2 linked regions of the Xenopus tropicalis genome follow. The protein of the gene in region 1 interacts with the protein of each later gene in a pairwise test. Links are inferred from orthologs where the notes say so. Each region holds a gene or a part of one and is shown on either strand. Other genes may lie near its edges.

Region 1 (12,792 bases):
TGCCAAACTCCAGGTGTTTAATAAACTAGTTAAAAAGCAAAGAACCAAGGTCTGATCCCTGTGGTACTCCACTAACAACACTGGCCCAATTAGAAAATATATTAATATATTAAAACTCTCTGTAATCTATCCTTCAGCCAAGTACACATATTATGTTTCAGGCCAAAATTCCTCAATTTTATTATTAACATTCTGTGCGGTACTGTATCAAATGCTTTAGCAAAGTTGATGACATCCACTGCCATTCCACCGTCAAGGTTTCTGTTTACCTCCTGTTTTATGATTAAAACACATGCTATCAGCTCTTATTTTTAATGCTCCTGATAAAGAGGTTTCTCCTATGGGGTAAACAAAAATGTACTAACATGTATAATAGGGAGGGTGAAGCAGAGTGGATTGTGGTAAAACTGCAGCTATTCATAACAAGACATGTCTGAGTAATCTGACCATTGCTACTTAATTTCCAAGAAACATTAAGATTTATAATTAAGAAAAAAGAAAGAGTCTTTAGTTGCCCTATAATAACTCATTCACAGTTGAATGTTGTGTTTTTTTCTTCGCCTATGTCACAATATTTACTCTGTTATAACTGCTGACAAAGCACAGCAAGCCTGTAAAACAAATATGTTCTGTAAACACAATTCACATTTCAGACAAGTTCTTGAGAGTCAAAGGGGAAAATCCTCCCAAAGTTTTTATTATAATGAAATAGTTTGTAAATTATTTGTAATTGTAACTGAAAGTGAAAGCAGCATTGTTTGTCTCTGAATTGCATATTCTGGCTTAATAGCTAAATCCAGAAACATACTTATTTCCATAGCCTTTTGAAGGGAAACAATCACCCCATTACTAAGTCAACCCTTCAGAACTTTTCTGGACTACAAGCGCACTCAGTATAGTCTGCATCAGGAAAGGGCTTGCGAGTAAGTGAGGTACATGTACGTCTACAAGTGCAGACAGTAAAGTGAAATTTTGAGCGCAATCCGCATGTTGTTTTCCCCACAGTGAAGCGTTTTCGCTTAGAACTCTGGTGTTATTTTGGTTGAAGAGGGGTGATGCTCTTGTTGCAATTGTGCTGCGCCTACCGCAGTTGTGTCTGATTAGCCGACAGACGAAACTGCTTGTGTGCTTTCTTGCAAATTAGGCTCAGTTTTTCCAAATATGTTTGAAATCTGTATGGTGGCATTTCTGATGTTTGGTGTGTGATTGATGCACTCTATTCCTATGAAATTTTCAGTTTGCACACCCAACCATTCAGAAGCCCAATGCCCAACCTTATCTATGTATGGACCAACAACCTTTGCTTAATAGTAAAAAACTAATTTCAGACCATGTGAATGAAGCTTTCAAGAGATCCTGTACTGTAAGCATTGTTACCCCTTGCTGTTGAAGCAGCAAAGTGAATATACAATTAAAACTCTGGAAATTCTGCTTACTCATGGCAGGCGCAAAGTACAGGGTCCTTTTGCTCCAGAGTACGCTGCACAACCTATTCTGCAAAGCAGGCGCAACTGGCTATTGGTGCATGGTGCTAATATATATGGGAGTGCAAGTAGGTACAAGCCCATTAGAGAAGGCAGCCTTGATTGGCACAATTCTGCACCTATTTTTGCACCTAGCACTATGGCTTGTTAATGAGGTCTCCTTTATTTAATTTTTTACTCCATAAATGAATCATGGATAATTGATATCAGTCAGACAAGCTGTTCAATTCATAGTTTGTCTATAGTATTAGACACAAAAATTCTGACTTACATTGTGACCTGCAAACTTAAATCTTTTACTTAAAGCAACATGACATAGTAGAAAGTGATTTGTAGACATCCTGTGATGCCAATTCAGTGACATTATCTTTTCTTTCTCCTAAAATGAACTGGAAATGGCATTCGCTCCGGGGAAGTTCTTTTATTGCCTTCATTCTGGTCTAAAAATTATTCTCCTTATTCTTCTTTTCTAAAGAAATGTAACAGGTGGGGTACATACAGATAAATAAAATGCATATATACTGTATATGCACTCTGCTGAGTCAGTAAAGCCAGCATCTTTGGCCATCTAACGTATAAATGCACATATACAGGCAGTACAGCCCTGTCAATTCAGTAAAAACAGTTGCAGGTTGCTACCAACACCCCAGAGGGTTCCTGTGTGTATATAAAAACACTATGTTTATATACATAACACTTCTAAACATTCTACTAATTTTTTCTCTTGAAGTTAAAAAAAAAAATGCATGCTACATATCCTACTAAATTGCTGAATGAATTTTCATACACAAAGCTCTCGCCTTCCTCACATCCATTACATATAGGTATGGGATCCCTTATCCGGAAACCCATTATCCAGAAAGCTCCGAATTACGGAAAGCCTGTCTCCCATAGACTCTATTTTAATCAAATAATTCAGAATTTTAAAACTGATTTCCTTTTTCTCTGTAATAATAAAACAGTATCTTGTAATTGATCCCAACTAAGATATAAATAATCCTTATTGGATGGAAAATAATCCTATTGGGTTTAATTAATGGTTTATTGATTTTTTAGTAGGCTTATGGTATGGAGACCCAAATTACGGAAATACCCCTTATACGGAATACCCTTGGTCCCGAGCATTCTGGATAATGGGTCCTATACCTGTAATACACCAGCCAACCAATATTACATGCCAATACACGTGTACCTTATGTTGTATGTCTTCTTCAAATGAGCTTCCAAACTGTTCCCATTACACAAGGTCCCACCTGTGGTTCTGACTTACCCCTCAGGTTTAAAATGTTTATCAACATTACTTCCTGATCCCCAACTTGCCCATAACATTTTCTAGACGTCACCTTCCAATTCCTACCTGGTTATTTTCCAGCATCTTCCTTCCAAACTGTACTTGCTGCTAAAAAGCCTCACAAAAAACACACTGCAAAAAAGGCTTCAGCCAGCCCTCTAAACTTGTGTATTACTGGCCTCTAATTAAGCTTTATTACTTTGGAACAGATTGTTCTCTACGGTAATAGCATCTGGGTACTCTTAGTCCAGTGTTTTTTTTTTTAATACCCCTAAAAAGCCTTGCCAAAGCACCCTCTTACTGCCCCCAATAGACTTGTATGTGCAGCCCTGGCAAGCTGTGCAAGCTCTTACAGACTGTTGCGTTTTTAGGAAACTATTGCCTGATAAGCATGTGCACAAGCACTTGCAGGTGGTTTACATTAAAGCCGGTATGTTTACAGAAAGCTAGGATAAAATCTAGCCAAGCCTAGTCCCTAATCTGCTCTGGATGGAACTGTAACAACAATATTTTATGTTTTTGTATGGCGGTTGGGGCTGAAAGGTTAATAGACAGCAAAAGGATGCAGGCCTGAATCCGAAAAGTTTCAACAGCCCTGCTCTGTATTCTGTAGCTTCACAGCTGCTAATTGACAGTGCAGTGCAAAATGGGCATGGGTTGTGTGACCACCATATGAGAACTGCTTACCCCCAGTCCCGGCATCAGAGCAAATAATTATTGAAAAGTACAGGCAGGTCTTAAAGGAGAAGGAAAGGCTAAGTCACTTGGGGGTGCCAAAATGTTAGGCACCCCCAAGTGACTTAGAGCGCCTACCTTGTACCCCGGGCTGGTGCCCCTGTACGGAGGGAACAGCACCAGCCCGGGGCACCTGTAGACACCGCTTCCTCCTTCCTTTGCGCGCTGCCGGCGAAATCCGCCGGCCGGCGCATGGGCAGTAGAGTGAAAAGCCGACTTTAATGTTTAAGTTCGGCTTTTCACTCTACTGCGCATGCGCACGCAAGCGAGGAGGAAGGAGGAAGCGCCGGCAGCTACCCCGGGCTGGTGCTGTTCCCTCCGTACAGGGGCACCAGCCCGGGGTACAAGGTAGGCGTTCTAAGTCACTTGGGGGTGCCTAACATTTTGGCACCCCCAAGTGACTTAGCCTTTCCTTCTCCTTTAAAGTTAAATATGCAGTCAGAATAATTTTGTACATCAGACTGTAAAGGTGGGCTGTTAACTGGACTTACCCAGCCTGAGGACTTGTAACAGTTGTAGAATTTTTATGTGCCGGAGACTGAGTTTGATATTTATTTCCCGGAGCTCCACTGTTTGCTACTGATTTTCCTGATGGGATACCTGAATGTAGGAGAAGATTAAAGTAGCAAATTGTAACAAGGAATCTCTGCCAGTGATGGCACTTACATTTCAGTAATACATATATACTGTATATATGCAGGCATTGTCGCTTGAATGTACAGCAATTCCCAATAGCTGGAAGACCACTGTTATTAGTAAAGCATTGGCAGAAAAGAGTAAAAAGAGGTCTTGCACATAAGTGTAAGTTTATGTATATGATAACACTAACCCATACACAGAAATATTAAAGTCTACCTGAGGTGGTTTTTCCAAAATTTGGTGGCTGTGGCAGTCGTGAAGCCGGGGATGATACAGCCGCGGGTGAGTTAGTCTTCTTAAGACTCAGTGGCTTATGCTGCAAAAATAATGGTATATTAGTTGTTGCCATAGGTTAATACAGTGAGGCAAATAAATGCTTTGTTGCTACACAGGTCCAATACAGGCTTAATGATCTTGACCTTGTAATGGAAAGTATTAAATAGTTTCACACATCAACTTAAATCTTCAACAAAAGATTTGTTTGAATTGTGATCCCTAATTTTCACATTCAAATTGCGATTTGTGAACCAAAATGTCCACATTCAATTGTTCTAAGCTTTAAAGTCACATGGTTTATAGGTTCAGAGTTAATTCTTCTGAACGAAAAATACTTAGTCAGAAAATAGTAGTGAGATCTCTAAGGCTTGTGTTTTCATTTGGGGTGGATTGCCACCTAAAACCTGACAAATGTTTTTGACAGCTAAGGATTCGGCCAAATATGAATCCTGAAAAAATACCCCACAAAGATTCAGCTGAAACCTAGAAAGAATGCAGGATTATATTGGAGGTTAACTGACCAGTATCATTAAACAGTGAAAATAGCTTATTTAAAGGACAAGGCAATGCAAAATATATTTTTTTGCCTAATAAAAGAAAACACAATTCTAAGCAGCTTTGCAATATACATTTATTACAAATTTGTAATTTTTGAGTTATTTGTATTTAAAATTGCTATTAGAGGCAGTGTTTGCCTGTCATTTTCTATTCTCTGCCCTGGTGGCTCTGACTGTTGAAACAATGTAACGCAAGGCAGCAGATTGACAGACCTGGCTTGCTGGAGGAGACTGACAGTTGCAACATTGTTAAAAAAGTAACAACCAGGAGTTCAGCAAATGCTGCTCTCAATAGCTATTACATTTACAAATAACTTTTAAAGCGCTACAAATTTTTAATTATTTCATATTGGAAAATTGCTTAGAATTATGTTTTCTTTATTTATGCAAATAATTATTTTTGGGGTTGACATGCCCTTTAAATGTAAAGTTTGTACCTGTTCATTCAGCACCTACATATAAATTCTTTTTTATATTGGTTTATAACGGTTTTATCCTGTAATCCCATAGAAAGCCACAAATAGCATCTGACCACTGTTTAGTTTCCTGTATAAAAATTAAACCCACTGGAATCTAAACAGTTTATCTGCAATCTGCTCTCTAAACACAAGCCTTTTTGCCTAATTCATCTTGAATGACTAACCCCATGGCTACCCAGTCCCTTGTTAATATAAACTATAGTGGTGTTTCCAAAGCACACACATTTTTTTTACCAGTGCAGGGCAATAATATTTAAATGCATATAAAAAAATTTTGGTTTTTGATGTAACTGTTCCTTCTAATGTTTATTTTATAGGGTATCATGCTTATAAATTCTGCAAAAACCCAAGGAAGCGTAAAAAAATGAATTTGTCTATCCAGCTAGAAGGAAACCCTACCTTTCATTTCAACATATAAACCAATGCAATATTTGCTTCAAAGAGCTGGACCTTTAGCACTTTGGAAGAGCTATGCACGATACAAACCATGCCAGCGATTGCTATCAACTTTCATTAGTGTTTGTGATGGCATTGCCCTTTGATATGATTATTGTATGGGTGCACCTTAGATGACCTACATGCTTTGTGCAACTAGTTTAAAATAGGAAACCCCTTGAAAATAGCCTGTAAGGAATGAAGGAAAATACACAGGATTGAAGTCCATGATGTGCTACCTTGGCAAAACCATCTGTCATGTGGATCTACGCCAGCTATTCACAAACTGTGGGGCTGGTGCCTCTTGCGGGACATAGAGAAGTGATTGAGGGGCCCAGTATGAATGCTGGTTAGGGTAAGATTTGTGGATAATGTTTATTTGCTCTCCTGGATATACCTGAGAGTCCAGCATGGCAGTAAATTAAAGTCTATCCAATATATTTGCTATCCAAATATTCTTGGAACTATGGCTGAATGACTGATAACAACTGTCTTACATCTGTCACCTTGTGCCAAAACCACGTTTTGCCAAGATTCCTTTTTAACTGCAAAATAGATCAGTTAAGAAGATCATTTGCACCTGATGACCTAATCATACTTATATAGTTTCTTTCTTGAAGGCTCAGAAACATTTTAGCACCTTCCCATAAATCAAAAGATAAGCCAACCATGCAGTTATAAACTATTGCAAGACTTCACATCCAAAAAACCATCTGAAATGTGGACCCAGGGGTGAGCCAAGCCAACTGGGCACCTTAGGCAACCCAGTCGGCCACCTTGCCCCTGCACCTTCCCCCACCTCACGTGTGCCATCAAGCAGTGAGGGAGTTATTGCCCCACCGTGTAATAACAACCGGCTGGGGCAAGAGAAGGGGTAAGGGGTAGGCAGGAGAGGTTCCTGTCTGGCGCCCTAGGCAGGTGCCTCTTCTGCCTACCCCTAGTTCCAGCCCTGTGTGGACCTAAGGGCCAACCAAATCTTATCCGCAGCTCCACTAATTTATAGTCTGTAATTTCTTTCTGGCATAGTTGTTCTCCTTTGTTGGCCATGTTTTTGGTAGCATCTGCTAGTTATTCATGACTAGTTATATGCAAAATACAACACTCTTTTCAAAATTTCCCCCCAAATTTATTATTACCTGGGGACGTGGTGCTGGTTTTCCTTTGGGATCTGGGCCTCCTTTCATTTTATTTCCCATGCGTGCAGCTTGCTCCTTGCAGAAGTTTATGTGTCGATCAGCAGCATTCTGATTAAATCTCCTCTGACAATAGGGACACTGAACATAATCTAAATTTAAAAAAGAAACAGTAAAATGCAGGTGTTACACAATGCTTATGTACTGATTTGTTTTTGGAAAATGACTGTTTTGCTACATGATGTATGATGCCTATGTATGTCATTATTAGTTTATTATGATTAGGACTTCATGTAGTAAAAAAGGTAAAGTTGTGCTCATCACTAAATTTTATACCTTTGGGGTGCAATGGGGGTGTGACCACAAAATTCATACAAAGATAAAATACAAGAGTAAGTGGCATAAAACAGCCAAGATAATGGAAAGCACTTATGGCAGCCGTAGTGCTTGTGGTAAATAGTAAGGTGGCGGATAAACCTGCCCTATGCTAGGATACAGCAAAGCCACATATTCCATCTCTTTTCTCTCAATGTAGTGAAGCCAGTTATAATGTACTGCTAATTACACATGCAGAGTTAGCCTCATTTGCTGGACGAATGTGCACCAACCTATAGCAACCAATAAGAAATTCACTTTAATTAGTCGGCTGCATGTGGCACCATAAAGGAAAATAGCTGGTTGCTATGGATTTTGTCCAGTATCAGTAACTGTGTGATAGTCCTGGGCTCTTGGGGACCTATCTGTAAAACATCATGCAAATACTGTATATTTTTTCTGGATAGAATGGGTGTTCTTCTTGCATAAAAAGCAGATATAAAACTAGGAAGCTACTTTATATTCTGGCAATAATGAGCAATTAGGAAGCTTCTTTATATGCTGGCAATAGTGAGCAATTTGCTAGATGGTGTTAGGGAATGATAATATTCTGTCTGACTTGAAAGGACTACATCAATCATAGATCTGCATTTGGCATCTGCTAATATTAGCAGATAATGCAGGGAGATGAGGCTGTATAGGCAATAGAGCAGTTATATGGCCTATATCAGATAGATAATGATCTGCAGATATATTAACAAAGTCATACCAGGGTCATATGAAGGTGGGGGTGGAGGTGGAAGCTCACCACCTTCTTTTATAATCTGAGAAATTCCTTTAGCAGCTCTTATAGTGGCAATAAATTCTTCATGTTTCCTCCTCCAGGTGGACTGCTTTTTGGGAGGTTCTGGCTAAAAGAAAGAATGCATATAATTAAGCAAGCCAAGGCACCAAACTCAAAAGGAAGTTCTAGGATTGCTTGAGAAATAAAAAAAAAAAAAAAAGAAAATAATTTTTTATTCAAAATAATTAATCAAAACAAAATTTATCCTTTTGCTTGGGATGCAATATATGTGTTTGAATAAAGCAGCAAACTAAAAAAACATTTGATTATTACTGCTTTTAATTTATTAAAGTTGACTTAATAAAAAATACAGTTAGCGGCAGACAGCAAAAGATACCAACTAATATGATCTTTAAAAAGCAGCTTTCCAATAACGTTATGAGTGACCTACGAATTTACCACTGGAGGGCAGCACCGAACATTATAAGCAGCCTATACATAGTATATACGTTGTGTATATTTCCAAATGATAGATAGATAGAAATAATGCATAAACGTGTATTTAAATATTATTCCACCACACAAATTACAGTTACCAATCGGAATTTAATGGGATTCAGTAAAGACTCCCCTTACTTTCTTAGACAACACTGAATCACTGACCAGAATATGCCAATTCTTTCTCAGGAACATCACAAGAATAAGTTATTTCCTGCACCTATTCACCAGGCTACACTAAAGCTGGTCATACATGGGCTGACAACATTAATTAAACCCAATAGGATTACATTGCCTTCAATAAGAATTCCTTTTTAAAAGTTAGGATCAAGACCACTATTGTTTTATTATTACAGAGAAATGGAATTTATTTATAAAAAAGTAAATTGGAATCTTCTTCCACTTTTAAAATAGTTCTCTCCTCTGCACAGAGAGGTCCCTCCTCTGCTTCACAACCACTTCAATGCCGGGGAGCCTGGATATGCCAAATCTGTTCTGTGTTCTCAAGCCAGGTATGGGAAAGGGGGCAGCCAATTTTTTTAAAATCAGTGTATGTGTTTGGTTCCTTGCCCTTCAAATTAAAAAGTCATTCCAAATCAACAAGGAAATCCAAAGAAGTTTACCTATTCATAACTGATGGCCAACATTCAGTGACTGATAAAATCTCAAAACAATGGTTGGGGGCATCAGAATGGATGGTGGGAATAAAAATAAAGGCGTGAAATAGAAGGGGAGGTCAAACAGAAGGTGTAAGAATAAGAGGTTGTGAAAAACGGAGTAAGTAGAAGGGAAAATTTGAAATGAAGACAAGTAAACGGGGAGAGAAGAAGGGACAGATTGAGATAAAGAAAGCAGAGAAGAAAAAAAAAATCTTCAAAAGAAAAGGAGCAAATCACAACAGACCTGTAAATAGGTCACCCAACTACTAATGTTTTTATTAAACCTTCCTGCTGCCAGCTATGGTTCCTTTCCAAAGGCATTGTAATTGAGTAGTGGTAGTGGTCCAGAAGAAATTGGTAGTATTTACTCATATATAATCTTGTAATTAACCAGCTTCTCATTACTCTCAATATTTACAGACAAGGTATTTTTTAGAATTTAAAACCATTGTGCAAGTTTTATAAGTCTGCTTGGTGTCATTTCTGGTGTTTGGCATGAGAGTGACATGAGCACCCAATTCTTTAAATGCATGTGTGCAGCACCTATGGTTGCGGGGTGCAAAGGGAATCTTGGAGCTACCGCCTGGAACAGAGAAACAGCAGTGGTAAATTCGTAAGGGCTAGCAGGAATGACTGAGGGGCGCTAAGCACAGCTATGCAGAAGTGCAGAGAGTGCATTTGATACAAGTACCTTTAATAAATTGGGTTTATAACACATAGACTGTAGGGAAACTAACAGAAGTGCAATAAATGTCATAAATGACATTAACCGTTATAACAATCATACACCAACCCAACTATTGGCTTTTACTGTGATAGGCTGCCTTTCCTTGTATTTCTCATTCCAGAAGACTGACACAGGTCTAAGGTTTTCTAAGCCCCTATAGCCAAAGTACCATCAAAGCTGATGGGTACACAGTGAAAGTAGTTTAAATAAAAACATCTTTTGCACAGGTCTGAGAACCCATTTGTTTGGAGCTAGTGTAGACCAGCATATAATGCATGTAGCCAGGCTGTTAGTTAGAGAGTTCTTTCCACTGCATATTATCTTATATATTTTTTTCCAACTTTCTCACTAATTAAGCAATAGACCACACATGGTGCTGTCATGTTCACATAATATTTATTCTCCTCATAAATTACATTAAAGGGTAACTCTACCCTTGTACAGACAAATGGATTCATGGTTGACAAGCAATACAATTAGCAGTGATATTTTTGTGCAGTACAGCAGAAATGACTAAGTAATACGGTGTTTCTTGTGATTTGGCATATTCCTAAACTACAATATGGAGCATTACTTACCCGTGCCTTTACTGGTTTTACTGTACTGATATCTGTTCCCTCTGCTCTTTGCCTGCTTGAATCAAAGGCTTTTCTCTTTTTCACAGCTGATTTTTGGCAAATCGGAATGTGTTTTTTCTGTTAAATTAATATAAAAAAATGCATTAGTGCAAATGAATTTATGTAACAGATGCAGCGTTTCACCTAATGACACATGTGGCGGTGGAGAGAATGTCAATCTGCCCAGGGCCCTGTGACCAATGGCAGGATCTGCATGTCAGCTCTCACATCTCCATGCTTGTGTCTATTCATATGGGTGGTTACCAAGTTGCAGAAATCCCATGTAAATGAAAGTGACCTCCAGTGTCCAAATAATCTTTAAAGGAAATGTAGGGATATTTTGGCTATTGTAGGAAAACTGAGGCTGTGGCTCCAAATCAGGAAAATTCCTTTGAAGCTTATTACCCCCTGCTCAGATTATCAGGCTGTTTTTGTAAATCAAGCCTTTGCTCATAATAAAGTAAAATAATAAAATAAATATGTAAAGTTATAATTTAGCTGTAGGTAGTAGGTACAGTTTCAGGATGGATATAAATAATACAATGTTTAAAAAATATAATGAAATAACAACAGGTAGGACATAATAATTAATTACTGATTATAATAAATGCAGAAATAAAATATAATATGTATACAGCAGGATCTGTATACCCTATAGTACCAAGCCCACTTAGTTAAACCAACCAGTGTCATTCAACAGACTTGGCTTTTTTCACTGTTCCACTTGCCCAATCAGCTCTGAGATCAGCCACTGGTATGTGCAGGGCAGGGTGTGTTGTAGTGGCATTTAGATGCTGTTTAGGTATGGGTTCATTTACATCCAGGACTAGGTACAGGTTGTATCTGGAAGAGCATTTTGCTCTACTGTTGTACACTTGCCACCCCTTCAGCTAACCCCCTTTATATTGGCTAGACAGAATTGTAAAATCTCATCAGCAGTATGGTTACCTTTGTGAAATAGATATAATTTAGACTGTAAGCTCTACGGTGCAGGGACCTCCATCCTCTTGTCTCTATGATTCTTAACTTATTACACCTGTACCTTGTATTTATTATCATACTTTGTATTTATCTATTATTATTTTAATAACACCCTGTATTCATTTATTGTTCAACTGTACAGCTACTGTGCACATAAGTAGCTCTTTATAAAAAATATATATAAACTATAATTTTGCTTTTCCTCATGCGTTCAGATATAGACTTGCATTTGTGTTTTAAATAATTGTCTTACTGTGTAACCAAATTATATTTCCCCTTTATCACATGAACAGATGACTGGACATTCACCAAGAATTTCTGGGTCCAGTGCAGACTCAGTCCAATCTGTTTGTAGATGAAGGCCTGGGGATCATCTAGGTCAGCGGTTCTTGTCAAAGGACCCTTTCACAGGGGTCACCTAAGACCATTGGAAAACACATATTTCTGATGGTTTTAGCAATAATTTTATGGTTGGGGGTCACCACAACATGAGGAACTAACTGTATTAAAGGCGGCATTAGGAAGGTTGAGAACCACTGATTTTAAATCAATAAGAGAAGAAAGAGCCTACAGAAAGAAAGGATTAGAATTGTCTAGGTGTTTTATTTTGCAAATCTGAGATAAGCATTCAGTGACCTTAGCTGAGGCTAGAGGGCCCTGCAGTTCTAATCTGTAAAAATTTGCCACTGTTCCAAGTCTTCATTTGGAGATGCTGGCTCTCACTGTGGTTGGATGGAGTCCCTGAGCCTTAGACATGGATTAGTAACCATTTTCAAGCTAACAGATTTCATCAACTCTTTTCTCATCTCTTATGAAATTTCCTTTTATCATGGGATAGTGTTCTTGTAGGAACTTTGTGGTGACTGCTCCGCTCTCATTGTTCACACTCGTTTTTTGTTATGATTCGCTTTTTTTGTGCTAAAACTATAATTTTTCACCATTTATTATGCGTCAAAGCCACAAAAATTCAAATGCAAAAGTACGACATCTAAAGGTTGTAACAATCTTTATTTAATTTGTGGTTTTCAGGGTTTTTTGTCATTTGTAAGTCCACAAAGATTCGTAAGAAATTTAAAAACCATGAAAAATTTGTGTTTTTCTTGGTCATTTTTTTTTGCGCATTTTAATTTCTTTATGCTTTTTCAATTTGGATCTTCTAATAAATGACCAGACATCCATGGT
Region 2 (13,271 bases), on another chromosome or scaffold:
AGTTGAATTTTTTTTTTCCATAGGGATACAAACATGCTACTGCTCAGGAAAGAGAAGGGAGCCACCGGCACATAAGAACAATGAACTGGTGAAACTCCAGGTCTCAGTTAAATACTTTTTCCTTCTAATAGGAATAAAATGTACTGCCAGATGCTGTCAAATGAAGCAATCACAGAAATCTAATTAACACTGAGTATGCAAAAGAGCCATAAAGTCTGTATAATAATGCTAAATGCAGGATCTACAGTCACACCTGAATGGCTACAAACTGGGAGTAAATGAGGTACTGTACATGCATGCCTACAGAGATACATAGTATACTAATATTTGAACGGTTTTGTATACAGTCAGAACAAACTGTAAAAAGTAACATAATATAGTAATTTAGGCCACTTAGGACACATTTCCATCAAGTTCAACCTTTTATACCTAAATGAAACCTGCCTTACTGCTTGATCCACAACCTCTTCACATGTGTAACGGTACAAAGTGATATATTCCGCAGCTTGCAGAAGCAAAATTGGCTCACACTAACTGCATTTAGTCACAAGAAACCCCAAAATCTCAATCCACCTCTGGCCATAACAAGCCAGAGTAAAAATGGCCATACATGGGCATACTTAAGATGCTAATTTGGCCCCATCAGACCAATTTGGCAGCTTATTGGCCCTCCAATGGGCCTACGTGACCAATATCTGGCCAAAAATATGCCAAATATTGATCATGCAGGCAGGCTTGATTTTCCTGTTGGATCAAGGACCTTAATGGCTTGTTGATGTGGTCCACGTCCTGATGGCCTGTATCCCGTCATTATGATCCAATCAATTGTCCCTAGGGCTTAATGCTGGCCATATATTATAAGATCCGCTTATTGGTTTGCTGCCAATATGGTCACCTATAGTTCTGCAATCAAAAGAGCCAAACATAGAGAGGATAAATCTGCCTCCAATAGTTATGGGAACAGGCCAAGGGGAAAATGTAGTCACTTGACACCACTGTGTATAGTCCATAACAAGCCACTGCTGTAGAATTACCGTCAGGTTGTTGGCTGTATGGGAAGACTGATGAAAAGTTCCCCAATGCCAATACCAATAAGCCGATGTGGTCCTCAATCCAATGGGAAAATCAAACCTGCCTGATAGAGATCTGGCCAATTTTCACTTATACAGGGACAGATTAAGTGCCAACTCAGTCTGAAGGGACACTGGCTAACAACTTCCTCTCCATTTTCCGTCAGAAAATTCAATGCATTGTTGCTCATTTAAATTTGTAAACCTAGTTGCTGTGCTGTATGCATGACACGTTAAAATCAAACAAACACATGGGTAATATTTACTACAACATCAGCCAAAAACATGTTACAAGCCCATTAATCATCATCTATCTACTAAAAGAGTTCATGAGTTACATATTCAGATGTGATGTTTTGAACTACTAAGAACTTATTTTGTGACTGATTTTAATTTTTTCAGAGCATTTGTGAATGGCACATCACTGAAGACTGTCCATGGCTAATTTACAGTTCTGCAAAGCTCATTCCCTGACACTAACAACATTTTCATTGTTTGGTTTGAGGGATTGGCCTAAGCAAAATGTTGGAATCAGTGATATAGCCATATACTGCTGACCACTGCCTGTGCAAAAGAGACAGGGAAAGAAAAAAACAATAATGAGTAACATTAGCAGGCAAAAAGGAAAAAAATCAGAAGCATAAGCAAGGGCCTCTGGATTAGCGATGTACCGACCAGCCCGAAAACATTGGGACCTGTGGGTCGGGATCCTCCTCGCCTGAGACCTTACACTTCCCATCTTCCACATCCGAAAGCCTCTATGTATCGGAATACGCCTGCCCTACCCTGCCTCCTTTGTGGCATGAGAGATGGGGCAGGTAGAGTGCGAGTCTAAAATAAAGGTGCATTGTTGGGTCAGGTTGGGAGGCAGTGGGTTAGGGACATTTTGTCAACCAGCACATCACTACACTGGAGTTATACAGGTTTCATGTTGATGGACAAAATATGCCATAAAATCCCTTTCTGTCATCAAGAGTGTCAGTCCCTAACTATAGCTAGGTCTGTGGTATGGGCAGCTTGTGTGCAAACTTCCCAGTCCCACATGAAATACATAAAAGAATTACCTGCAACATAAAGATTTTCTAAAAAATGTACCCTCTAATTCCTTCTTGGCTATGTAAGCAAAAAATTATTTTGTGCGCATTTTTAAAAAGTGTGTGCTGAGGTCAGAAAAATTACAAAATGTTGTGTTCTTGCACAAATTTTTTTTGTGTGCATTGCAATTTGTTGTGTACGGTGGCCTCTAAATTTTCATGCACGAGAACAAGGTTACAGGTTACAGTGTATGTTCTTTGTCATTTTACATTTTATCCAAAAGAAAAGCCTTTTTCCATATCTATTATCCTGCAGCAAGCCAGCATGCACTTCTGATCACAGGCTTTGTGTAAAAGAAATAAAACACATGCCAGGCTAAGGCAGGTTGGATCCAAAACAGGAAATGTCCTTTCCAGCATGGGTGGGAACAGAACTCTTTCCTCCCTGTATGGCATTTAAAGCAGATTTCAAATTACTTTTATTTCATTGGCACATTATCCTAATAAAATGACAAATTTTATTTTTACATATTACACTTCCTCTGAGTCTATTATTGTGAAATAAATAATATTCATACCTTCAAAGCCTTCCTCATCCAGCATCAGTGTGTAATCTTCTGGTGTTTCTGTCAAGCTGAAGAACTTGCATCTATCAAATAAAGAGAGAAACTCACATTTAAATGAAAAGTACAGCTTGGTTGGCTCAATGTACAAACTAGATAGCAGCCAAACAATTATTCCAATCAATAGCAAATGCTCTGCAATTTTTTGTGTGCCACATTGACAGATTTTCTATAGCACAATATTATAATAAAGGACACCCTGACATTTAATATGCACAAAGTGAATGATGTTGTGTGACCAGATTCTAATGATTGCAAAAATCCATGTCTATAAACCCCCTCACATAGAAGTGAACACTTGCACCTAGGTACTGAAATCAAAGTTACAAATTATAGTTTTGCACTATACAGCATGCACAAGGCTGGTATTTTCACTAGTGTGCTACTAAGTGACAAAACCAAAAGTCCAGCTGACTACTAAGAAAATGTTTTCCTGTAAGTGTTAGTCAAGTGACAAACTTTATACTTTTCTTGTCTAGTAAACCACACTAACTTTTTAGACCCTAGGCCTAGAGTATGATTAACAATACTTTGTACTGGAACTTTTTCAAGCATGATGAAAATCACTAAAACCGTGTTAGAGGCCAGAGCCTAAGTTATATTAGATTTATGCTAAAAGATAAAAGTTCAAAGCTGGTCAGTAATAAACTGTTATAGGTACAGGGGTACATTTGGACTAAAAAGGCTTAAGCCTGCATTGTCTGGCTTTAGCTCTGCTTTAAAGGAGTGGTTCACCTTTAAGATAACTTTTATCGTTATAGTGCAGTGATCCCCAACCAGTGTCTCAGGAGCAACATGCTGCTTACCAACCCCTTGGATGTTGCTCCAAGTGGCCTCAAAGCAGGTGCTTATTTTTTAATTCCTAGCTTAAAGAATTCCTAGCTTATGCTGGCTGCAAAAAAACAGATGTACTGCCAAGCAGAGACCTCTGTAGGCTGCCATTCCATATAGGGGCTACAAAATAGCCAAATCACAGCTCCTATATGGAACCAGGAACTTGAGTCATGCTTGTGTTGCTCCCCAAATCTTTTAACATTTGATTGTGGCTCACTGGTAAAAAAGGTTGGGGATCCCGGTTATTGAGAATGCCATATTCCTAGCCACTTCAAAATTGGTATTACTTATTCATTATTTATAGTTTCTATTCAATCCCTTTATCTTCCAGTCTCTCATTCAAAACACTGCTTGGTTGCTGAGGTGAACATGACCCTAGCAACCAGAAAGCTGACATTATTCCAAACTAGAGAGAGTTGGCGAACAAAAAAAAGCTAAATAACTAAAAACCCAAAATAAAAAAAAATGATAACTGCAAATTGATATTCTGAGACAATGTCTATGTCATACTAAAAGTGAATTTAATGGCAGCTGCCCGGAAGACAATACTACACAAATGGCTAGCCTCAGATACCCCATCCCATAATACTAGCAAAACAAAAACTACACCATATTTTCTACATGGATTGGTTGGAGACAACAACTAAGAAAGAAGAAATCACTGCAAAATTCGTCAACACATGGCTTACATATATATCCTCTTTACCTCAGACAATCATAAATCTCACGGTCTAGACATTCAGACAAACCACATGGTATGACATAGAAACACTCAAGGAACACCCACTCCTGATTGAAGCATCCCAGTACTTTCAAAACCTGCAAATCCAAGAAACTAACCAACAAAACTACGAACCCCCCAGGAGTCAACAAATAAATAAAATGTTGGCAACATACTTACAGTAAAAATAAATTCCACAAGGTCCAGGACGAACAGGTATGAGCTAAAAGTTCAAATTTTGTTAAATATGTTGAACCCAAATGTTTTATTTTCTACTACTCTACCTACAAGACACAAATTTAAGATAACAAATAACCACAAATGTTGTAATAGAAATGTTTGATGACATGAAAATAAAAACAAAGTTTAAAAAAAAAAAAGTGAATTTAAAGGTGAACAACTCCTTTTAAGTAATGGAAAATGTACTGCTAATTCAATGTATATCAATGGATTCAGTAATTCTCTGAGCCTAAACCATAATGGCTTTCCCACAAATATAGGCCTACTGACTATTTTCCCAGTAGGCATTTTTCTACTAACATGTAACATGTCTACTGATAGGTATAGATTCCATCAAATCCCAACTCAGTTAGGCAGTCTTCTGCTACTTCTTGCTTTGAAAAACCCCAATGCCACCAAATGATCACCCCTAACAGAGATCAACTGAGAGCTGAAAGGCGCACTTGCAATGCACCACCACAATCTTAAGAGATGGTTTGGGGAGACCTGTTGCACACCCCCACTGATGTGTGCAGCTTGTATCTTGCATTTTACACTGGTGTTATCAGAAAGCTCCACATGCTATATTCCCTTAAATAGCCTCACACAGGAAGAACAAGCACATCCATTTGCGACAGGTGTATAATTTCTGCAGTAACCAGGTTACAGCCATTTCCAGCTCAGAAAGCCAGTACATAAAACTGCCATGGAAAAATGTTACTTATCACATGGGACAGCAACATATGGAGCAAATGGAACATATCCAGGTGGTATGTGTCCAGTACAGGGCAGATTTCCAATTTAAGATAAATCAGGGTTAATTTTGCATCAAATAGTACTATTAGATTTGATTTAGCACCACTTGATACCTAGCCCTGAATGGGATCACTTTACACTAAGTGCAATCTATAGCCAGAAGAGAGTGTGCTTCTATTGCTACTACACATCAAGCTCCATTGTTTTAGCTATAACATAAATTGTTTTAGTTAAAACATCTACATAATAGAAACAGATTGTTCTCTCCAGCAAGTTAAAACAAGCAGTCCACAATGGCAGACATACCAACTCATTTCCTACTCTGCTTAGTAGATAAGCGTCACCGGCCCTCTAGCAAGAGAACAGGAACACCTGTCTTGTTTTAACATGAGAGAATGAGCTGTTCTATATATTTTAAAAGTAAATATGGGTACAGATATAGACTCTTTAATGTGAAAAGCCATTCTCCAGAAAGGTTTGACATACAAATTTTTAATTTTCATAATGTCCAATTTAAACAAGCATTTTTTTTTTTTTTAAATCATTTCCTTTTTCTCTGTAATATTAAAACAGTAGCTTGTACTTGACACTAAACTGCATGAATCCATATTGGTAGCAACACAGTCCTACTGAGTTGATTTAATGTTTTTGCAAGCATTAAGGTACAGTGCCCCAAGCTACAGAAAGACCCTTTAATACCCTTTATCCAAAAACCTTGGGTCCCCAGCTTTCTTAATAGCAGATCCCATAACTGTATTTCAGGAAAGTGACTCATACGCAAAGTAGCAAACTAAATAATAAGATAAATAACAGGAAATGAAGCACACATTTTCTTTTACTCTAGGTCCCCCTTTTAATTGTTTAAGTGTAACAGTGAGTGCTTTCTTGCACTGAGGAGAGTGTGTCTGTCTTTGTAGGTCACACAGTTAATCTTGTGCAAATGTATAGGATGCCTTTGTATGTGAGCACTGGGATGTCTTATGAAATGTGGTCATATCATTAATCGCTTACAGAAATTCTTTATAAAAAAAAAAAAAAAAAACGGTTAACCAAGAACCTTGTATTGTATGTAGCACAGTGCCTATTATGATATATATATATATATATATATATATATATTTATTACACACTGCAGGAAACCATGCTTTATTGATCTCACTGGGATCTGGAACACAACAGCAGGGCATGCAGGCATAACTAGTTTCTCTATGCCCATCATCACACTCACACTGGATGCAGAGCCCAATACTAATCAGTCGGTGCATTACAGAATAGAAGCAAGTGGTCACAGCTGATAAAACGCTCTCACATAGACTGAATGTCAGGAAACTGCCAGGGGCAGCAAGCCAAACTCAGAACATGCTGCCTGGCCTGTGCAATTCATGCCCCTAAATGAGCTGCCCAACTGTTGTTCAATTACAACTCCCACCATGTGACTACAGCTTCAGGAGCTCAGTGGATGCTGCTAGGATTTGTAGTGCAACAGCTGTAGGAGAACCCTACCCACAATGGCAGGACAGCAAGGATACCAGGCACAGGTTGCAGGATGCCAGCACTGTAGGTGCAGATATTAGACAGGTGCAGTAACCAATAGCAACCACACTAACCGCTAGTGAGGATGAAATCAAAAGGCAAAGGCAAGTGCAAGTGCAGTCCTTGCCCCACATGGTTCCCTGATGCAATGCAATGCAATGAGACTGAACCATCGGCCAAGTTCTAGGACTAGTCGGGCAAGCCGTGCAACTCGTAAATGATCTACAGTGCAGGTCCCTTCCTCACTCATATGCAGCTGGTGCTGCCAGTGTTAGGGGCAATAGTGCTCTCTCTCCCCGAGTACCACAGCCCAGCAGCTTTGGCTCTCTCCCCGCCCGTGTGTTCTTTATATACCTGGTGCGCTGCCTCAGGAACAGTAGTTTGACCAGCGGGTGGGTGTAGAACCACAGGCCACACTTCTCAATGCTGGTCACTCGCACCCGATGCTCCAGCAGCTGTAGATCCATTGCACGGACACCCAGCCGAGACCCACAGCGTGCTCCACGGGGCGTGGCCTTGCTAGGAAGGGATGTGTCAATCAGTAGCATGGGCCGGGCTCATAGTGACACACAGGGTGATGTGCCGGCTGACCCGAAACCCAGTGGGTTCGGCCCGAATATTGGATGTTCATGGCGGGTGCGGGTCGGGTACCTGATATTCTTGGAAGGTATTGCAGGCCATGGGATGGAAGAGGCTGAACAGACAGTAACAGGAACCAGAGGGGGGGCGGTACGGATAGCAGATCGCTCACTGAGGGAAAAAACATTGATTGATGTGGGGAAAGGGGAGGGGCGAGAAGCTGCAGAAGTTAGGGACTGAGGGCAAATTTACACTTTTCATTAAATAGTAGAGACGTTCTAGTAGTGTGTGCATCGTTCCCTCTCTGGTAGTCAGCTACTCGACTGCCTATCATTGTAATTTTATTGCCCGCAAAGCCTTTCCTGATGCTGTATCACAGGCAGCCAGTGCCTTACTGCCAGCAATTACTGTTCAGAGGAGAGAGCAGCCTTATACACGCCCCCTGTGGTTTGTTGCCCGCCCAGCTGCTCAATCAGCAATAGAATTTATTGTGGCCCCGCCCATAACGTCATGGAACCGCCTCGCCTCCCAAACATTCTCTGCCTCTTCAGGTTTGCAAGGTTTGAGAGCAGCAACAATAAACATGTCTTCAGCTTGATCTAGTACTAGTAGCTCAAAGGCACACCAGGAAAATCCCACCTGCTTGTGACATTAAAAATACATGTGATTTGTTGCAAAGTGGAGAACTTAAAGTACAACAGAAAAAAGATGCAGAAATCTATAGTGTGGAAACAATTTGGGGGAGGTAGTTAGCGCAGACAAATGTAAATACAAAGGCTATGTAAGCTGTGTGAAATGCAAAGCACTTTATAAATATGACAGTCACAAGACTGGTACTTCTAATCTAAGCAGACACATATGTGGGCAAAGTTCCACAGGTAGAACCACTGCAGCATCTTCTCCTTACATAGCAGAGCCAGCAACAACAAAGCCTATAGTGTCATACTTTCTAAAAGATGTATCTAAAATTCCAGTAAATGTCAAATTACAGTTGTTAGATTCATGTGTTGATTTGTACTGTATGGATATTAGGCCTTTTGATATTGTGACAGGAAGGATTTAAGCGCTTTGCCCAGTCACTTATTAATATTGGTGCTACCTATGGATCTGTTAGTGCAGATATGATTCTTCCCCACAGAAATACTATATGTAAGAAGGCTGTAGAAACAGCTAAATTAGAAAAGCACTAGAAGATGGCATAGCAATCACTACTGATATGTGGACTGACAAACACCATAAACAGGCATATACTGTGCTAACTTGCCACTTTTTACATGTAGTCAATACCTGGCTATTAAAAGCCAAAGTCATTGCATTATCCGAATTTGAGGCAGGAGTTTCTAAAACAGCTGAAAATCTTACTGGGCAGATTAACAAAGAACTGTCTGAATATGGCATTACATCCAAGTTATATTCCAAAATTGTGTTTGTGAGTGACCAAGGTGCAAACATCAAAGCTGCTCTTCTCAATTGTCATTGGATTCTATGTTGAGCATATGTACTGAATACAGTGCTTAAGCATACGTTTGATGGCAATTCATTACCACGAGAAATAAAAGAGGTAATCTCCATTATAGATAAATGCAAAAAAAATCTGGAACAGTTGCAAGAGTTCCAGAGTATCGGTCCCTCTTTGTGCCCTGGTTTAAGGAGTTTATGAGCGAGCCAAAAATCAGTTATAAATCCTCCTCAGGCTTTTGCCTGATTTAATTTGCAGTAGTACAGTCCTTACCATTGCCACAGCAACTATTAGCTATAGTACAGCATCATCCACACTCAGTGCCACCACCACCTCCAGTACAAGCCATCAACTAATTTAGCTACTACTTCTCATTTTCAATGAGGTTTTCACAGGTTTTCTGTGTGAGTTTGGCATTACATTATTTTCTTTAGTTTTAATTCATATACCTAGTATGAACTATGTGTGTGTAGACTGACTGTACTCCTGCAGTCTAATAGGCAAGTAAAGCCCCCACTGTTGCCTGACCCCCTGGCCTGGCCCCTACCCCACTGATTGAGCTGCCTCGATTAAAAAGACTTGGACTCACTGCTTACAATCTACACTGATCCTGCACTACATTTGGATGAAACTGCTTAGGTGGCCCTCCTGTCTGGAGTCACAATTAGACAAAATAAGTAAAAAAAGGTTCATGTCTTTTGCTTTTGTATACCTGACTCTATATCAATGTGCTGTATTGCATTGACCAAGAAACCATAATGTGAGATCCTGGCTGTGTTTTCTAAAATATGGCTTTTTGTGACTCACACCACTGATAAGCGGGTGCGGGTCCTACAATGGAAACATTTTGCGGGTTAGGGTCAGGTGTGGGTTGAGTTTTTCCTGACCCGCACATCACTAGTAGGCACAGAAGGACCATCTGATAGATATTGATTTGGGCCATAGTCTCAATATTATTAGTATTCTGCTGTTATGCTTTTCACTATTATTATTATAACTACAATTTGCTTTTTAGCCTCTTAACTCTCAGCCTGTAACATTTCTCTTTTTAGCGCCATGCCCAGATCTCTGGAAAACTTCAGTCTGGTAAATGTATTGGGCAAAGGCATCTTTAGAAAGGTGTGTTGCTATGTCCGTAATAAGGATTTGTACCATACTAAGGCATAGGCACTGAACCTATGGTCTCATTCCAGGTGTTCCTGGCAGAGTACAAGGACCCAAAATAACTATGTGCCATAAAGACTATAAGATAAGATTACTGCCAGGAGTGATATCAAGAGGTCAGTAAAATGGGTCTCATTACTATTTCTCTGCTCTCTGTGATATTCTGAAATCTTTAATTTAGTCATATATATGTAACCCTATCCTCACCGCTTCTGGCACTTTTGACAGTGTTACACTCCACGTGTGGCGCTTACCTGATGGCACGGGACAAACCTGAATCACTCCGCAGTGGTATTGGGAGAGACTGGGTACCTGGTACTTATTAGCGCAGTGCCTCCACCTAGTGGGATCCGGGAGTGCACCTACGGGTGGCCCCACTAGGAACAATAATAATGCACACACAGTACTTGATAAACGAAATAACTTTTATCTGAATAAAGGGGAAACTAATACAGATAACACTCCTATCAAAGTGGCAATAAGGGCCTTACTAACTAGCTTTGCCAGCGCAAGCTATCTCACTAACTATGTACAGTCCTTTAGCTCAGTCCAAAGGAAAGTTTATATACTTTAATCTTCAAGCGCTCCTTTATTAGTTTCACTTTAATGATACTCACTCCAGGGATCTCTTTGGGTGATTCACACAGAATCTTCAGGCGAGTCCAGCACTCACAGCCATGCAGTGCGACTACTAGCCCCTTTAGGTACTCAGATGGGATTCCCCTGCAGGTGTTTGTTCCTCCAGTCAGGACTCCTCACAGAATCTCTGTCTCTCCAGGTACAGGGTCTGCCTTCCCTGTACCAGCCTGTTCCAAAGGCCAGCTTCTTCTTGTGCTGCTCCTCTCTCTGAGCCCACGTGCAGCTTCTGGAGCTCTGGGACTTTCTGTCTCCTCCCTCAGGCTTCCTCTCCCAGGCTGCTTTGCAACTTCCGGCAGCCCTGAGCTTGCTGTTCACCTTGTTGCTAGGCAGCAGCTCACAGCACAAAGTCTCAGTGCCAGCTCCCCTACAGGGAACAGCAGCAGGAGGGGGGTAAGTGCAGGGACCCAGCACTACCTCCCTACATTCTCCCCCTGCTTGAATGGGCAACGTCCTCGCTTGCCCTTTCTCACCATTCTTATTCTCCCTAACCTTTGGGGGAGATACACAGGGGAAAGCTTTCTCACTAACTGCCCTGACACTTCCCCTGCCTGAAGGTCTACGCATTCCCAGGCCCAGTCTCTTACTTTTATTGGGGATGCCAGAGTGCTCAGAGACCATCCTCGTGCCACAGGATTTCTCTTCACAAATATCCACTTCACATGGAAAAGATGTCACATATACATCAGTGAAGTCTTCATTCCGTCCCCAGTCACAGGTGTGGGAAGTATGACCGTACCAACCACAGGTGTAACACCTCACCTGATTACGTCTCTTCCGATACCTCTTTTGGGGTGGCTTCCTCACATCACAGCCATATGAAATAACTTCTGTAGCTGCAGCATTTTCACGTTGCGTCGGACAGTGTGGGGATATATGGCCCAACCGGCCACAACGGAAGCACTTTGGTGGGTCACCGCGAGCACCACCTGCTTTAGGAAATGAAGAGGTTCTAGACATAGTTGACCCCTCTTCCTTTTCGGACACACGAGCCTTGAGCTGAGCAACCTGTTTTTTTAACTCAGCAATCTCTTCCGCTTTCTGCGAATCACTGTATGTCCTTTCAGAACCACGACTTTTCTTCTCTCGTCGCAGAACATTAACTTCCTCCTTTCGGATCTCCCGGATCAGCTCCTGATAAGTTGGTTCTTTCTTTCCTCTGTAGAAAGATCTCAACATCACAGCTGTGGGATCCATAGATAAAGCCCCTCTGAATAACTGTTGTAGCCTCATAGAATCAACACGATCTGTAGCAATGATTCTTCGGCAAACAAGTAATTTTAGCATTTGCTGCAGTCGCTTCAAGTACTCAGACAGATTCTCTTTTTCTTTCTGCATGCAAGACTGAAATTTGTACAACATTTCAATTTCATCTTCCACCGGTCCATATGTATCTTCCAGTACTTCTATCAACTTCTCAGGACCATCTTGTGGGCACACCTCTCGGTGGAGCTTAATTAGGTCCAATGCAGGCCCTCGCAAACTCTCTTGGATCTTGCGACATAAAGCAGGACCAGAGCCAGGCCAATCGGTAATAGCAACCAAAGCAGCATCTCTCCAGGCCTCAAAGGTCTCTTCACCTGGAGGAGTAGGTTCCATACCTGAGAATATTTTTAGTCTCTTATAATTTCCATTGTATGCCAGCTGTCTCAAATTCTCACCGACTTGGGCCAAGACTTCCACCAGCTGAGCTGCCTCAACAACATCACTTAGAGGTCGGCTCCTCCCAGCAGAGTTCAAACTTTCACATGATGCAGTGTATTTCAACTTTGTCTCAGGTATCACATCAAACAGTCTTTTAGTCACTGGGCTGTGATCAGCAGCAGGTATCTGTGGGGTGCCACTGCACAAGGGATTTGGATTCTCCAGATCGCCTCCCACTTCATCCTCACTGTCACTAAGTTCCTTCTCCTCAGGGACATCTGGTAAGACAATTTGCCAGTAATCATGGTCTTCCGCCTGTACACCACGTGCACATGTTTCTCTATTAATCTCACCAGGACTATCCACAAGCACATTTAAGAGGATGCCATCTGGGTCTCGTCGCGAAGCTACCACTCTAGGTCTATAAATAGATCCATCTGCATCTAGGATCTTGTAAATAAATTCCTCTTTTGTTTTTGGTATCATAGGGCCCACTACAGCAGTCTTTTTCGGGTTTAGGCCCAAACTCTTGCACCAGTCCAGAACACTCTGGGGACTCTCAGTAGATGACGCCATCTTGTTTCACTTTCTGTGCAACCAGGTCCCAGCCGGATCTCAGCAGTGCCTCCAAAATGTAACCCTATCCTCACCGCTTCTGGCACTTTTGACAGTGTTACACTCCACGTGTGGCGCTTACCTGATGGCACGGGACAAACCTGAATCACTCCGCAGTGGTATTGGGAGAGACTGGGTACCTGGTACTTATTAGCGCAGTGCCTCCACCTAGTGGGATCCGGGAGTGCACCTACGGGTGGCCCCACCAGGAACAATAATAATGCACACACAGTACTTGATAAACGAAATAACTTTTATCTGAATAAAGGGGAAACTAATACAGATAACACTCCTATCAAAGTGGCAATAAGGGCCTTACTAACTAGCTTTGCCAGCGCAAGCTATCTCACTAACTATGTACAGTCCTTTAGCTCAGTCCAAAGG

The links.
Region 2: the proteins of zc2hc1a (region 1) and castor1 interact in binary tests that used the Homo sapiens proteins (3 or more experiments, as listed by UniProt). The two-hybrid records come from large-scale screens. The link is inferred for Xenopus tropicalis from reciprocal best matches to the Homo sapiens genes ZC2HC1A and CASTOR1.

The regions. Positions count from the first base shown.
Region 1 is NC_030682.2:123,228,312-123,241,103, reverse strand, and holds part of zc2hc1a (zinc finger C2HC domain-containing protein 1A), read right to left. Parts: intron 10,708-12,792; coding exon 10,591-10,707; intron 8,256-10,590; coding exon 8,114-8,255; intron 7,182-8,113; coding exon 7,033-7,181; intron 4,466-7,032; coding exon 4,366-4,465; intron 4,111-4,365; coding exon 4,002-4,110; intron 1-4,001.
Region 2 is NC_030677.2:144,398,802-144,412,072, reverse strand, and holds the start of castor1 (GATS-like protein 3), read right to left. Parts: upstream 7,495-13,271; 5' UTR 7,258-7,494; coding exon 7,145-7,257; intron 2,754-7,144; coding exon 2,683-2,753; intron 1-2,682. UniProt on the Homo sapiens protein: Functions as an intracellular arginine sensor within the amino acid-sensing branch of the TORC1 signaling pathway. As a homodimer or a heterodimer with CASTOR2, binds and inhibits the GATOR subcomplex GATOR2 and thereby mTORC1.